4 linked regions of the Nothobranchius furzeri genome follow. The protein of the gene in region 1 interacts with the protein of each later gene in a biochemical or structural test. Links are inferred from orthologs where the notes say so. Each region holds a gene or a part of one and is shown on either strand. Other genes may lie near its edges. The genes, in order: cdc5l, ctnnbl1, plrg1 and prpf19.

Region 1 (3,569 bases):
TAGGGTCTCTGTCTATACACCTTATAAGACAATTTAGGTGATGGCATGTTGTTTTTCTGCTACTGAACTGTTTTCTAATAATGTTGTGTTAAATAAAGTGAAGGAAGGAGAGAAATAACATTTCCCTAGCAGTTTTTAAAAATTTCCCCATGTAATCCGATTAATCGATTAATCGTGTCGAGACCCCATCCGATTAATCGATTATCCAAATAATCGTTTGTTGCAGCCCTATTTCCAACAGAAACTCAATTTGAACCAAGAGGGGTTATAACCAGTCTGCTGCACCAGAAGCTAAAGCAACATTAAAACAGGCTACTTAAGCCTTTCTGGTTTAATTACACGAGCAAAAGATTTATGAATCAGCTGATGTTTACAAAACACAAGCTTTGTTGTTTTGGCAAAGCTGGAAGAATAGTTTTAATGAACACATTTTTCTGTAACTAAAGTTAAAAGCTTTGATGCACCATAACAAGACAGGAGAGTGAGATCATACCTGAACGGTGTACTGAGAACAGTGTTTGGTGTTTGGACCTGCTGCCTCTGAGGCGTCACGCCGCTGAAGTCACTCTCGTGCAGCGGGGTGTTGAGACCCCCCTTCAGCGGCGTGTCTATGTTGGTCAGAGCCATCAGGTTCTGGGCTTCCTACAGAACAGAAGCACAAAAACACATGAATATAAACAGAGAAGAAAGCTTCTGCTTGGTTAATTTAAATGAGAGAAAATAAAAAATACAAGTAAATAAAGACCACAAAACAACTGATTTGTACAAAATACCAGAAAACTTAGATGAAGTGAGAAAGTCATTGTGTTTGTGGTCAACCTGCAGGATCCTGTCCTGTGCAGCAGGGGTGCGTGGGGTTCGTAGTCCAGTTGTCATGTTGTTGGTGATGCTGTACTCAGACAGGAGGGTGGAGGAAGCAGAGTTCCCACCTTCGCTTTCCTCAGCAGCCTGGCGGGCGACCTCACTTGCCACTCCCAGTTTCACGACCTCCTCTAACTCCGCATCACTGATCTGAAACCAGAGGAAGGACAGACAAACATCGCTGATCTGTTAGGACCAGATGCATCCGAGCTCAGACACTGCTGTGATCCTGGAGCATACCTGTGGGGCGGGTAACACCAGTTTGGAGCGCTTCTTGGTGAACTCTGCCACTCCGCTAGTCTGCAGGATAGCTGATGGCAGATCGCTCTCTTTCTTCTTCTTCATCTTCTGTTTATCTTTCTTTCGGTCCCTCTCCTCAGACTCGCTACATGTAAACAACTGATTAAGTGAGAACTCCAGATTCAGTTGATGCATAAAAGCAGAGTGTGTGTTGTTACTGACTTGCGTAGCTCCCCGTCCAAGTGCTGCTGCCTGAGTCGTTTAAAGTGTGGCTCCAGGGCATCGTACTGCTCCATGCTGGTGTCATAGAAACCCTAACAGGAAACAAAAATAATTTACAATCCAACTCACAGTCTGACGTTGGTGACACTGGGCTGTAGCTTAAATAATGAATGAATAAATATTAGCATCAATAGTTACTGGTGCAGGTTTCTTTTCAAAGGGGATTTCAGCATTGTAGTCCACTCCTCTCTTCTTCTTTCTCTTCTTCTGAACGTGGATTCCTGCTGCTCTCAGCTCTCTGCGTTTCTGCAGAGCAGCCAGGCGCCTGCAGCAGAATGAGAGTAAAACAAAGGACAAATATTTGTTTGTTATGCACTGATGGATTTCAGGGCTACCCCTGAATGGATGTTAATGGATGGAATTGGCCATACCTGGCTTCCTCCAGCTGTTTCTCTCTGGCCTTCCTCTTGGCTTTTTTGCCCTGCGTGTTGGCCAGACGAGCTCTGGCTTCTGACAACATCTCCAGCTCATCTACAAAGACAAAAACACAGTCGTGTGTATGTTTCTATTGCTGCTAATCGGACCCACTTATTAGCACAGAAACCAACGTTCCTAAAAGAGATGAGAGGAATAATGCTGCAGAACAAAAACTTATTTTGTGCTTGTGAAAGAATGAAGTGTGTGATTTCACCTTCATCCATGTCCACGGGGTCAGGTCTGGCAGGTTTAGTCTCAGGGTTTGGGTCGATCTCTCCTGGTTTCAGCTTCCTGGGATCATCTCCCACCTCTTCCTCGTTGTCTCTCTGTGCTGCTTTATCTCTAAATGAAGACAAAAGCACATCTGTCACCCTGACCTGTAAATTGCCATAAATGCAAAGTTCCTCTCTGGTAGCAAAGAGCAAATGAGTGTAAAAATTGAAACTGTACAGCAGGTATTCATAGTGCTCTAGACACTGGGCAGCAGTGCGCCCAATGATGGGAGCAATGGTCCTCCACTGAGTCGGCATCAGCTTGGCCAAGTGAAGCAACTTCTCCTCCTCTTCTCTGGACCACTCTGTTTTTTTGATACTGGGGTCCAACCACTCGTACCTGCAAACAGAAACACCGTCGACGAGTGATTCAGGTAGTCGGACTGAACACACCTACAACAGAAAAGTATGTTTATGTTTACTTATTTGGCAGACGCCTTTATCCAAAACGACGTACAACGTATAACCTATAGGGCATGTTGTGATGTGTGGGGGAACCGGAGTACCCGGAGGAAACCCACGCATGCATGATGAGAACATGCAACTCCACGCAAAAAGGTCACAGCCGAGTTTCGAACCTGCAACCTTCTTGCTGCGAGGCAACAGTGCTAACAACTGCATCACCATGCAGCCCAAAAAAGTAGTTAACCTTTGTAATGGTCGGTGTCGTGTCCCGGTAGAAAGGCTACAAACTCACCATCTGGCTTTACACTGTTTGGCAGATTTGCGGTGAAGCAGGGAGGCGATACGAGACCACTGGTTCTTCCCATATTTCATCACCGCTGCCTTGAGGATCTCATCCTGAAAAAATTAGGGTAAAAAAAGCAAACAGGCAGAAAGACAAAGTTAGAACTTACATATATTAAAACTAACAAATAATTAACATAAAACATAATAATCATATTAAAGTCATTAAGTTGACTCAGAGCTGCAGCTGTTAGCCTGCACCCACCCCCCAGAGTTCTGGACTTTCTCACGTGGGTCGGAGCATTATCCTCTGTTTCTGCAGTTTTTACTTGGATGACACAGTGAAGAAAACACAGAAAATGTTCGCTATATAAATGCAAGCTCGTGTGTTTTTCTGCTTAGTGTGTAATCTGTGATCAGAAACAGCAGAGACGTGTTCTGACTAGAGACTACTTTTAATCTGTATGGTTCATTTCCACGTAAAATCTAACATCAGCTAGCCTGGCAAGCCAGACTAAATAAATGTATTATTTAGTCTGGCCATGCTCCATTGACGGCTCTCGGTTGTGGGGCGGGTTCTACCGTTGTCTTTCAAATGATCTCCGCATTCCACTGGACAATGAATGTGACATACTCTTGTTTCACTCTGTTGCATCATCCCACCCACCAGGCATATCGAGTGCCCTGATTGGCCCACAAAGCGGATAAAGCTCTGTGATTTGTTCACTAAGCAGATAGAGCACTATGATTGGCCCACCATTATGGACCAATCACAGCTCTTTGTGCGTTTGAAACCCCTCTAGAGAGCTG
Region 2 (3,569 bases), on another chromosome or scaffold:
AACGTCCACTCAGCAATGCAAGGTTGGGACTGTGTAAAATGGCAGACTTGACAAGCAGCTGATTTTGAGCCCAGAAGATGTTCCAATGGTAAATTTTGTTGTAAAATAAAGTTATTAGTAGAAATTTGTCCTTATCCTGTACAATTTGTCTCTGAACATAGTGCTGGAACGGGTCAGCAGTGAACCAACATCCCAGCAACTGGAAAATTTGTTCTCTGAACACCAGAGTGTTTGTGTTCCATAGTCAACCTTTAACTGTGTATTACTGTTATTATTGTTGCACTTATAGTAGCATAAGCATATTAATCATTTTGGTTTCAGGTGGTCCTCCAAAACGCTGAACTGTTGGTGTAAACCTTTTATTGTAAAGTGCTTTGGGAAATGTAAAAATCCTAAAGCTGCGACAAAGAGAAAAGGTCAAATAACATTCTGGTATTTAGAGTGATATCTGCTTCAGATAGAAGCGTGTAATATACATTTAAAGTCTGTCAATTTATAGAAGTCCTGAAAAATATGAAACAACAGCTGAAAGCCTGATCTGGGAAACCTTTACCTTTACGGATATGAGGGATGGGATCCCTGGCAAGCTGCGGGATGATTTACGGTTTAGGAAGTCTGTAGTGCATCCCACTCATGGGATTTCTTGTAGATTAAACCTTTACCTGAGCATGAGATTCATTAGCTGAAGCCCTTCTCCTTTGAGGAAGCGATCCCGATTAGAGGGCAGCATGAGGCAGGAACACAGAGCATCAAACAGATTTTCCATCATCTCCTGCTCCTCAGCCGTGTTCGGATTGTGACGTTTGAACACCTGAGAGAAAAGGACAAGGAGTGGGAAGCACTTAGAAAAAAGATGACATGAAGGATTATACCTTTGTCTACTAATTTAGCATCTAATTATGAAATAAAGCTAATTCCAAATAAAAGCCACACTAAACCAAACATTCATCAGTGGTGGGGTTGCTTGCACAGCTTCACGTTAGACAAAATGCGTTGCAGGAGAACAGGCGCCGGGCGTGTTTAGAGCTTAGAAATAAGTTAAATGTTTGAACCACGGATGTGCAATATTATTGGTTTATTATTAATATCGACAGATATTGGCATAAAAAATGTAATACCGGACAATATTGGTATCGGTTTTGACCCAACCTTTTAACTCGTTAACTGCCAGCCGTTTCCTGATCAGAAAAGCCTTTCGCTGCCAGCGGTTTTCAGCATTTTCACAGTTTTTTTAAGAGTCACATAACGTTGCGCGCTAGGATGATGTCAATGCGAAAACTACCAAAACAAAGAGGAGACTCACTTCTTACATCAGGAAGAATCCACGCGTTTCGAGCGTTATCCGTTCTTTCATAATCCGTTGTTGAATTGTGATCGGCAGAAGCTTTTCCGGTTCGCGCCTCACTTTTTTTACAGCAACGTCCGAAAACGATCTCCTAACACATGGATTTTCTGCTTCCTGATCACATGACGTGTGATGTACGCGAATGAAGATCAGCTTTAGAGCTGAGATGTTCGTTCTCATGGTGCGGGGGCTCGTTCCGACGCCCACACAGTAAATAAATGCAAATGGTGACTTTAGTCGTCATTGGCGGTGAATGAGTTAATAACATCCACATAATATACATCAAATTCTTCAGCTACTTATTCTCTCTCTCAAAATGTTAAAATATGACAGATCTGAGGTAAGGTTATTGACATATTTTAGTTTTTTTGACACAATTTGAGAAGTAGAAATTTGCCCTGTGTGGTGAACGTACACCGTCCTGCACCTGGCAATGTGTAGCTAGACGGCTAACAAACGACTAATGGGAGATATGTGATGTGTTAGTAACCTAAAATATTTCAGTTTTTCTTTTTTATGAGGGAGGGGCATAAAATTAATCAGTATGTTTAAATTGGTATTGGAAATTAAGAGTCAGACAATATCGGTGTGTCTGATATTGGTAAAAAAAACAAAAAGAAAATATCGAGCATCCCTAGTTTGAATACAAGTGAGAGAAAAAAATAAAAGTTCTTACAGATAACTGCTGCAGTAGCACATCAATACCATCCATTTCACCCAGCAGTTCTCTGGTACCTGTAAAGAAAGAGAAAATAAAAAGACAACAAGGTGAATGAAAAGGAGGCAGAAATGAGTTCACAAGATTCCGATTATAAAAATGAGCATTTAAACAAAAATGATTTGTGCTAAACCTAAATCAATTACTTTAACAAAATAATGACTAAGGAAATAAGATGGGACAATTTAAAGGCATCGGGAGCTTCCACACTAACGCCTCTGCTGTTTTATATGATATCTTTTAGATTTTTGTTTTTATTGAAGTCTAATAAAAATAAGTAGATGCAAATTAGGACATCAGGAATGTTGCCTATGTTGTTATAATTTCCCATTTTATGTGGCTATATATATATATATATATATATATATATATATATATATATATATATATATATATATATATATATATATTAAACAGGATAGTACTCAAGACAGCATGTGTCCTTGTTTTGGCAAAACATAGTTTTGTATAAATTTTTCATTTTGAAATGCAAAAGAGAGAGAGAGTTATAATGGAGGCAGCACAAGAGAAGAGTGGGGAAATAGGTGCGAAATGAGAAATGACTTCAGCTGCATACCAATGTGATTTGTACCATTAATGAGAACTAGCCCAAGGCCCTGGTCGTCCTGTGGCTCTGATTTTACTGCCTTTCTTTTTTGTGAGGGAGGGAAAGGATGAAGACGACTGCACATAAACCAACAGAGATGGCGTGGAAAGTAACTTAAAAAGGAGGAACATTTTAGAGAGGGAGAGGACGACAAGGAAAATATTTTAACAAGTTCAATGAGAGAAATGTAACTAAGACAGAATGGAGGGTTGAAGTCAATTTAGGGTGAACAGGCGGAAAAAAGATGGAAGATAAATAAATAATTTAGAACACGTCAACAATTTACTGAGATACACTTACTGTCATTATTTTGCAGCAGAATGGCTAGAATTTCACTGCAGTACAGCTTGTTAGCATCAAACGGCATCTTTGCCTGAGAGGGAAGGAGAGCGAAGTCTAATTACCACTCCTCTTGAGAAACTCTGTTCTCCAGAGGATTACAAAATCACTATGTATTCTACAGGAAAATCTGCATTTTCTAACCTCAAGCAGAGACCTGCTTTATGCAGATTCTGTCTCACACAGTGTATAATACTGCACATCATTTCTGAACATATTTATAACCTCATTTATTTTATTCAAAACAACCCAAAAGAGGGAAAACACAGAAATTAATTCCCGCAGATGGTGTGATTCCAAACTAAACCAGACGTTTTTTTTTTAGATAAATATGAAACTAGATTTTTGTTTTTGTTACAGACAAACCTACAGTAGTTATAAGGTTTGCTCTATAACATCCCTGTCACAAAATCTCAGAATAAACATTTATCCTATACAAGTACAGCAGTTAAACAGAAAAAAACAAATCATCAAACCCGGCATGACTGAGAACATACCAGAAGTTTTATGTACTCAGAGATATCATCTTATTAGCTGGTATTCATTTCACGAGTCCTGGG
Region 3 (2,788 bases), on another chromosome or scaffold:
TAAATTACTTATTCTCGATGATCACAAACAAACCACCAGCTGACTGGTTTAAATCTCTGGACTCCTCAATTACTAAATTCCTTTGGCAGGATAAACCTCCACGAATTAGCTTAAAAACGCTTCAGAAGACCAAAGATAGAAGAGGACTGGATCTACCCAACTTTTATTATTTTTCTTAGCCAACAGGCTGCAATATATACCAAGATGGTTGCAAGATAACCCACTAGATGAGTCCTGGTTAGATATGGAACAGACACTTTGCAATACGATAGAGCTTTCAGACTTACCATTTATTAGCTCAAGCATAAGAAAACATGAAGGCTTCAAAAGTATTAGTATCATCACCTCTCTGACAGCATGGTGGGAGTATCTTAAAATGACAGAGTCTACACTAGTACCATGCAGACGCACACCTATCTGGAAAAATCCTGATATTTTGCAAAATAACAAAATGATGAACCTTCCGGACTGGAAAAATAAAGGGATCCTATACCTGGAACACATATATGAAGGACTGGACTTCATCCCATTTAATAGAATAGTCTCCCAATTTGGAATGGATAAGAATAGCTTTTTAGAATATCACCAAATTAAATCTGTAGTCAAACAAAAATTTAAACTCAATAAAGCCAATCAATTGGCTAACGTGAGGACTTACTGTCTGGGGTGCAGCACCAGAGTTCGGACAGATTTCTTGTGGTTTGTCAGAGTTGCTCTGGTCTTCCCAGCGATCAGATCCCAAAGCCTGATGGTTGCATCGTGACTGCCTACACACACACACACACACACACACACACACACACACACACACACACACACACAGTTTTGTCACCTGCAAACATGAAACTGCCTGCTTAAAACCTGAACTCTTGACACTTTAGATCAGCTCTACCACAGAATCTGTGTTCCTTTAAATCAAAATGAATAAAAGACTTCTGAAGTGATTTATAATATAGTGTATAAAAATTAATCTCGTGCATCACTCGGGCTCTTATTTTGATAAGGTGCACCACAGCATTCATGGTGGAGTGTTTCCCCAAGTCAACAAGTCATCAAGTTAAATAATGATTTCACCAATAACAAACACAATGGAGACCAAGCCCCCCCCCCCCAAGTGGAGCAGCCATAATCACTGTTATTGGCTTCAAATCTACTCACCAGTGATGATCTGTGGCTCTACAGCCTGACATCTGACTGTAGCCACCGTGTTGGTATGACCAGTAAGTGTGTGCACGTTTGCTTTTGACCTGATGTCCCACACCTAAAAGCACAAAGAAAATCCAGTCCCAGTCAGGATTGGGATTAAACAAGACAGAGGCCTAATCCCACCAAACTAGAACCATATTGGTCTCATGGTTTAAAACAACACACACATTCCCTTTCATCTCTAGGTTACACATCACTGATGTTTTCCTCCTCCTCAGCTCGGGTGCAGAGCGGCACACACGCACTGACAGCGACGTTTTCACTGGGGAGAGTTGCAAAGCGATTCCCTGCCAGGACAACAGAGGGCGTCGCACCACCACTGCAGTCACATCTCTGGTCCAGGATAGCATATTAACTGTAGTTTGTGTTTGTATTGTGTGTTTGTGTATTTCAGAGACGTTCTCTTCCACCTCTTCATGCAGTCGCCACCTCTACACCCACATTTCCCATCAAGCTCCAACACAGCCCAAACTAAACTCACCCTCGCTGAGGCGTCTCGGCTGCATGTCACAAGCACATCGATGGTTGGATGTAGATCCAAATCATACACAGCACTGAGGTGGCCATGGTAGTGCCTGATTACCTGGAAGACAAACCAATGCTGTCGTGAGGCTGTAAAAATACCACAACTGCTATAAATACACAAAACCAAGTTATTTTAGATTAAATAGAGTAGTAAATATGCCTGTGGTACACAGGTCTGTACTAGAAACCGGTGTGTGTTTCTGTTATGATGTTAATCTTTCATATGCTGCTGACATGGTGAATAGCTCAGACAAGGTCTGGAATGTGGGAAAGTGTTTCAGCGGGGGACCAAATTAACTGCTCCACAGTCACACCAAAGTAAAGTAAACATTTAGCATGCTAAGTGTGAAGCTAGAAGAGGTAGCAGGACTAAAACTTATGTTTGTCTGTCATAAATCTGCGTTGTTAATGCACTAAAAACACAGAACATGTTGTCTACATGCAGTTTCACACCGATATTGTGTTTTGGGCACTTTTGGTTAAGGCCAGGCTAGCTTCGGTTTGTTCAGCTCTCTGCTGATTGGCTGCCAAGGCTTTGGGGTTGGACTAGTGCACCAGGAAGAATTGGCGGCTGCCTGGACCGATTCACAGCAAAGACTACGCCTTTTTTTTTATGTACAATCTTTCGAAACCTGTAAGTGGTCAACATGTCATGCTGGCCATTACCAATATACTTTAATGTATAATGTATACAATTCTAAATGCTTTCATTACTCTGATGTTTGTCTTGCTAACAGATGTAGCCTAGCAAACAACCTGTTCGTAGCAGGTGCTTTTTGGTTCAGACCGACTCAGGGTTTATGTGGAGTGTAGCGTGGGGAAAAAAATGCCCTCAAATACCGTAAAACTGATGCTTCAACATAGAGCTGGGCAATAAATCGAAAATTTATCGTTAAAGAAATTTCTGACTCTTATCGAGATCATTGTTCCCATGTCAAGTAATTTGATAATAAAAATGAAAATATGTGTAGGTCGGCAACATTCATGTCCCTTTAAGAAGCTGTTCCACCTTGAGTCACGTAAAAGTGTGAGTTAAGGTGGTACATGTGACAGCCCC
Region 4 (4,295 bases), on another chromosome or scaffold:
CACACCTGCTCTTGTTACGGATGAGATTTAAACCTTAATTCATGCCCACCTGATCCTCAGAGGAGCTGAGCAGGTAGTCTCCAGTAGCATGAAGGGACAGACCGGTGACGCTGGCTTCGTGGGCACGCACCACCTGGATGCAGTTGCCCCCGGTAACAGACCACACACGGATGGTGGCATCAGGAGAGGCAGAGAAGACCATAGACTAGAGGGGAGAACACGTCAGAGAGAAGGATCACACCTGGCACGTTCCTTCAGTTATCAATAAAAGACCCCCAACGGACAAAGACTCACCTGAGATGGATGGAAAATGACAGAGGTGACCTTTTTGGTGTGGCCTTTAAGAGTCGCCACAATCTGCTCCTCGTTCTTGTCAAACACCACCACACTCTTATCAGCTCCACCTGGAGGACGACAACACAGTCAGCGTTGGACTAAATCGGCCCCGAGCGGGTGATTCGACACAACGCCAAATCAAATAGGACAGAGTTAAGCTCAGAGTACCAGTGAGCACTTTGCTGGTGTCTGAGGGACACACGTCCAGGGACAGAATACCAGGCACACTGGCGCTGTGAAGACCCTGAAGCAAACAGGAAACAAGTCCACCAGATGAAGCACATTCAGTCGTTTATAGGACCATCTTCATCATCCTGGTTCTGCACTTACAGCGTGGGAGGCCACTTGGCGGTACTTGCTGAGATCCTCGGCTCTAACCAGCTCCTCTGGAACAGTTTTTCCCCTCTACAGAAGCACAAGGAACTTTTTAAATCACACACAATCACAAGATATAAAAACTTTACCTTCCGTTGGAAGTTATAACTATAACAAGGAAAAAATGCTACAAACCTTTTTCCTCTCTGTGGTGAGAATAGTAGCCTTGTCTTGCAGCTGGAATGATCAAACAGATTAAATTGTTTAAATAAAATGAAATATGAGCTTATAATAAAATAATAAAATTCTGTGGACATAAAAAAAGTGTTTTACCTTCTGGATGATCTCTGGAGTCATTCCCACCTGTTCACTGATCTCCATAGGCTCTCCACCAGCACCCTGCAATACAAATGTGAATATTTTATACAAGAGGACTAAAACTACCAAGAGCTGAGGGTTAAAACAGTTAGGCATGGGTCACTCACTGCTGCAGCAGGCTGAGAGGCGGGGGCGGCCTGAGGGGTCACCAGTCCAGCTTGAGGTTTAAGTGTGGCCAGAGCTGCAAAAACAAAATAAACACATTTAGGACATTTTAAACGTGCTTATGTTCCCATTTAACAAATAAACCTTTGAAATAACACGCCAAGTGGCTATTAACATTTTAGAAACACCAAGATGTGTCTTCTTAGGACATACAGACCTTCTCTTGCAGCCGTGACCTCCTTGTTGAGTCGAGCGATGACTCTGCAGGCTGCGTCGTGTTGATAAAGGGCGTGAGAGAGTTCCTGGCGAGTAGTCTGCAGTTGCTGCCGCAAGGTGAAGCTGTGAAGCATGACGGCATCCTGTAGGACGCATAAAAAAAACAACTCTTCCTGAGATTTGAAATTAATTTATTAGAAATGACAGCAATGTCTTTAATACTTGAGCTTACAAACCCCAAAATTACTTCAAAAGTTACGTAAAAGTGTCATATGTTGATCTATGTGTTTGACGAGTTTTCAGATTTATTTTTGTTCAAATAGCAGCTGTTGTGTGAAAAATAAAAGGGTGATTCCTGTTCTAAATAGTCAACAATAACACACAGGTGTGAGGTGGACGAGTGTCCTCCTGACCGTTTCCATCACTCACCCACTCATCTTGAAGAGACTTGAGAATAGCTGGGATGCTTGTTGCTGATGGCGCCTTTGGTCTGATGGGGTGGGTCACTAAGCGGGAAGACATTTTCCAAACCAGGAAAAATTCAGTCAAACCTTTTTAAGTTAAATATGTTATTTCAGTGTGCAACTGGATTGAACTGGTACAGTTTATTGAAAGGCCCAGACTTATCAGAGTGTTACTAATAATAAATTAAAACCATTATTTTAAAATTACGACTCAATTAAAAATAAAATAAATGAAAGATCAGATGGCCATGATCATTTCAGTTAAAAACGACGCAAGACAAAAAGTTTAGTTATTTACCTTTATTATAATAAACTGTATTTTTAATTTTGATCCCTTTTGATGCCTGGATTAATAATCGGTTAGCCTTAGGTTAAATAATCTGTCCCAAACAACCACTTCAGTGTGAATAACTCAGCATTTCATGTTTATCATGTTAAACAGGCTTTAATACAATGCGAATTTCAAACTCGTCGTTTACTCATTAATTCATTCGTAGTGTCCAAAAATATCAAGTTAATCAAACTTAAATAAAGTCAAATCGAGGGTGTAGTTCACCTTTGATGTCCACTAGCTGCTCCTCGGACAGCGGCTGTCCGTTCATCGGGTCCGTCCCATTCTCGGCGATGTACTTCTCTATCAGCCTCCGCTCAAACACATGATTGGACACCGGGGAGATGCACGGGTGCTCCGGCACCTCGTTGCAAACTACAAACAAACAAAAGGAGAGGGCGCATAACGCTCACAACTCAGTAAAAACAAAGAAAAAAAAGAGAATGGAGGGAAACTGAAGTTAAATACGGTTTGCGTGGCCGCTAATGTTAGCTTCATTAGCTTGTAGCATTAGCATGATACCGAGCTAACTCACAGGCGCCGTCCTGCAAATTTTCATCTTCACTTACTTGCACAAACCAAAGACATGTTCCAAACGCAGTCCTAACAGTGCCCTCCTAAACGTAGACTGTGTTTTTTGGCGTCTTGAATTTCCCCCCGCTTGTGAACACTTATATTTAGTTCAAACTGGAGATAGCACGCTGTCCTTTCATTGCCGCTATAAAGGAACTGCTTCCTTTTTCTTCGTCGCTGGTTTCCGCCAACAATCAAACCGCACTCATTTCAGTCTGCACTGCCCTCCACCGCTTAAAACACACCACTGCACTCTTGAAAATCTTACAGGGGTCTGCAACCAGCAGTGCAAGTGGCTCTTTAGATAAAAATTATTTTAAAAAGCACATTTTTAACATAGACATATTAAAAATTGTTGGTTAAAGCAGCTTTTCGGGTTTTATGGAATAACTACATTGAATATCCACATCAAAATGAAACTACAATTACCATTTGACATAATTTTCCACAAATATCAACATCCCAGAGAAAAATCTCCATTCTACGTTTGCCAAAGTATTTTTTTTATCATTTTAAAATTGACTAATGGAAACAAATGTTGGATATTTTTAAATGACAGCAAATCTAATAGTTCCTTATTGAAGAAGGCACAAATATTTCTTGCTTTAATCTCAGAATTCTCCCATTAATGTCAAGACATCTGAGCAAAAAAAAAAAAAAAAAAAAGAAGATAACTTTCCTCTACGTTAAACCTCCAACATAGATTTTTATCATAAATGGCGTTTTTCCTGAACGTCCTCTAACAGTTGAGGCTCTGAACAATTATTGGGATGGACTGAGAGAAAAACGGCCGTTTGGATTGTAAAGAATGCAGACCCATGCTCAAGCAGATTTCTCTATAGTCAAAGAATAGATAATATGAGGCGTTTGTGTTAAATATACATTTTATTGTTTTAGAGACAACCTTCTGATAGTCAATAATGAATTACATTAGTGATGCTATAATATGTTCCCAGATTTACAGGCTGTTGCCCTATAATAGGTTACATTTCTACAATTGTCTAGAGGGTAATAACACTACACCTGCAAAATAACTTTAACTGCAAGACAGATATTTATAATATTTTTTGCAGCAGTCAGGAATGAACAGGATGATTATGCACTTTAGTTTATGCTATAATAATGTGGCATTTTAATAATTTTCTCTTGCAAACCTTAGAGTAACTATGTTGACGTTTATGCAGACCTAGGGATCATAGAAGGCCAATGAACACTTGAGACACCCGGCAAAGACAGTGCAGATCATGTTGGTCCTGAGGGTCTGGAGGTAGGTAACAGCAGGAGATTTCATGAGCACCATAGTGCAATGTGTGACATGAAGGGTAACGCTCAACCCGTGGTTCAAAACTCAGTACAAACCCAAGAATTAAAAGTGTGCAAACTGGTGCACATGAGATTGTTCATGTCAGCTTAGAATCATCTACTGTAATATTTCCATGCCTCAAGCTTCACTTCTCATCTCATCCTAGCCTCCGTTTTTATAGAAAGTCCAGTTTATTTGATGTGTAAACACTGCAAGATTCAGAAGTGTCCGTATCTAGAGGCAGCGCGGAAAATAAGTTGTTGGATTTGCTCCA

The links.
Region 2: the proteins of cdc5l (region 1) and ctnnbl1 form a complex in vitro, tested with the Homo sapiens proteins (3 studies listed by BioGRID and IntAct, with this or other methods). The link is inferred for Nothobranchius furzeri from reciprocal best matches to the Homo sapiens genes CDC5L and CTNNBL1.
Region 3: the proteins of cdc5l (region 1) and plrg1 form a complex in vitro, tested with the Homo sapiens proteins (3 studies listed by BioGRID, with this or other methods). The link is inferred for Nothobranchius furzeri from reciprocal best matches to the Homo sapiens genes CDC5L and PLRG1.
Region 4: the proteins of cdc5l (region 1) and prpf19 form a complex in vitro, tested with the Homo sapiens proteins (2 studies listed by BioGRID, with this or other methods). The link is inferred for Nothobranchius furzeri from reciprocal best matches to the Homo sapiens genes CDC5L and PRPF19.

Annotation. Positions count from the first base shown.
Region 1 is NC_091752.1:40,109,913-40,113,481, reverse strand, and holds part of cdc5l (cell division cycle 5-like protein), read right to left. Parts: intron 2,874-3,569; coding exon 2,770-2,873; intron 2,413-2,769; coding exon 2,251-2,412; intron 2,143-2,250; coding exon 2,015-2,142; intron 1,855-2,014; coding exon 1,755-1,854; intron 1,649-1,754; coding exon 1,522-1,648; intron 1,416-1,521; coding exon 1,324-1,415; intron 1,247-1,323; coding exon 1,102-1,246; intron 1,012-1,101; coding exon 820-1,011; intron 643-819; coding exon 494-642; intron 1-493.
Region 2 is NC_091755.1:51,796,251-51,799,819, forward strand, and holds part of ctnnbl1 (beta-catenin-like protein 1), read right to left. Parts: intron 3,044-3,569; coding exon 2,971-3,043; intron 2,081-2,970; coding exon 2,022-2,080; intron 812-2,021; coding exon 663-811; intron 1-662. UniProt on the Homo sapiens protein: Component of the PRP19-CDC5L complex that forms an integral part of the spliceosome and is required for activating pre-mRNA splicing.
Region 3 is NC_091744.1:17,227,040-17,229,827, forward strand, and holds part of plrg1 (pleiotropic regulator 1), read right to left. Parts: intron 1,790-2,788; coding exon 1,688-1,789; intron 1,262-1,687; coding exon 1,159-1,261; intron 768-1,158; coding exon 659-767; intron 1-658. UniProt on the Homo sapiens protein: Involved in pre-mRNA splicing as component of the spliceosome. Component of the PRP19-CDC5L complex that forms an integral part of the spliceosome and is required for activating pre-mRNA splicing.
Region 4 is NC_091741.1:94,861,587-94,865,881, forward strand, and holds the start of prpf19 (pre-mRNA-processing factor 19), read right to left. Parts: upstream 2,867-4,295; 5' UTR 2,734-2,866; coding exon 2,715-2,733; intron 2,521-2,714; coding exon 2,371-2,520; intron 1,857-2,370; coding exon 1,780-1,856; intron 1,494-1,779; coding exon 1,352-1,493; intron 1,211-1,351; coding exon 1,137-1,210; intron 1,051-1,136; coding exon 985-1,050; intron 889-984; coding exon 847-888; intron 742-846; coding exon 667-741; intron 581-666; coding exon 505-580; intron 405-504; coding exon 295-404; intron 206-294; coding exon 50-205; intron 1-49. Other genes in the region: uncharacterized protein, read right to left, coding at 4,197-4,295. UniProt on the Homo sapiens protein: Ubiquitin-protein ligase which is a core component of several complexes mainly involved pre-mRNA splicing and DNA repair. Required for pre-mRNA splicing as component of the spliceosome.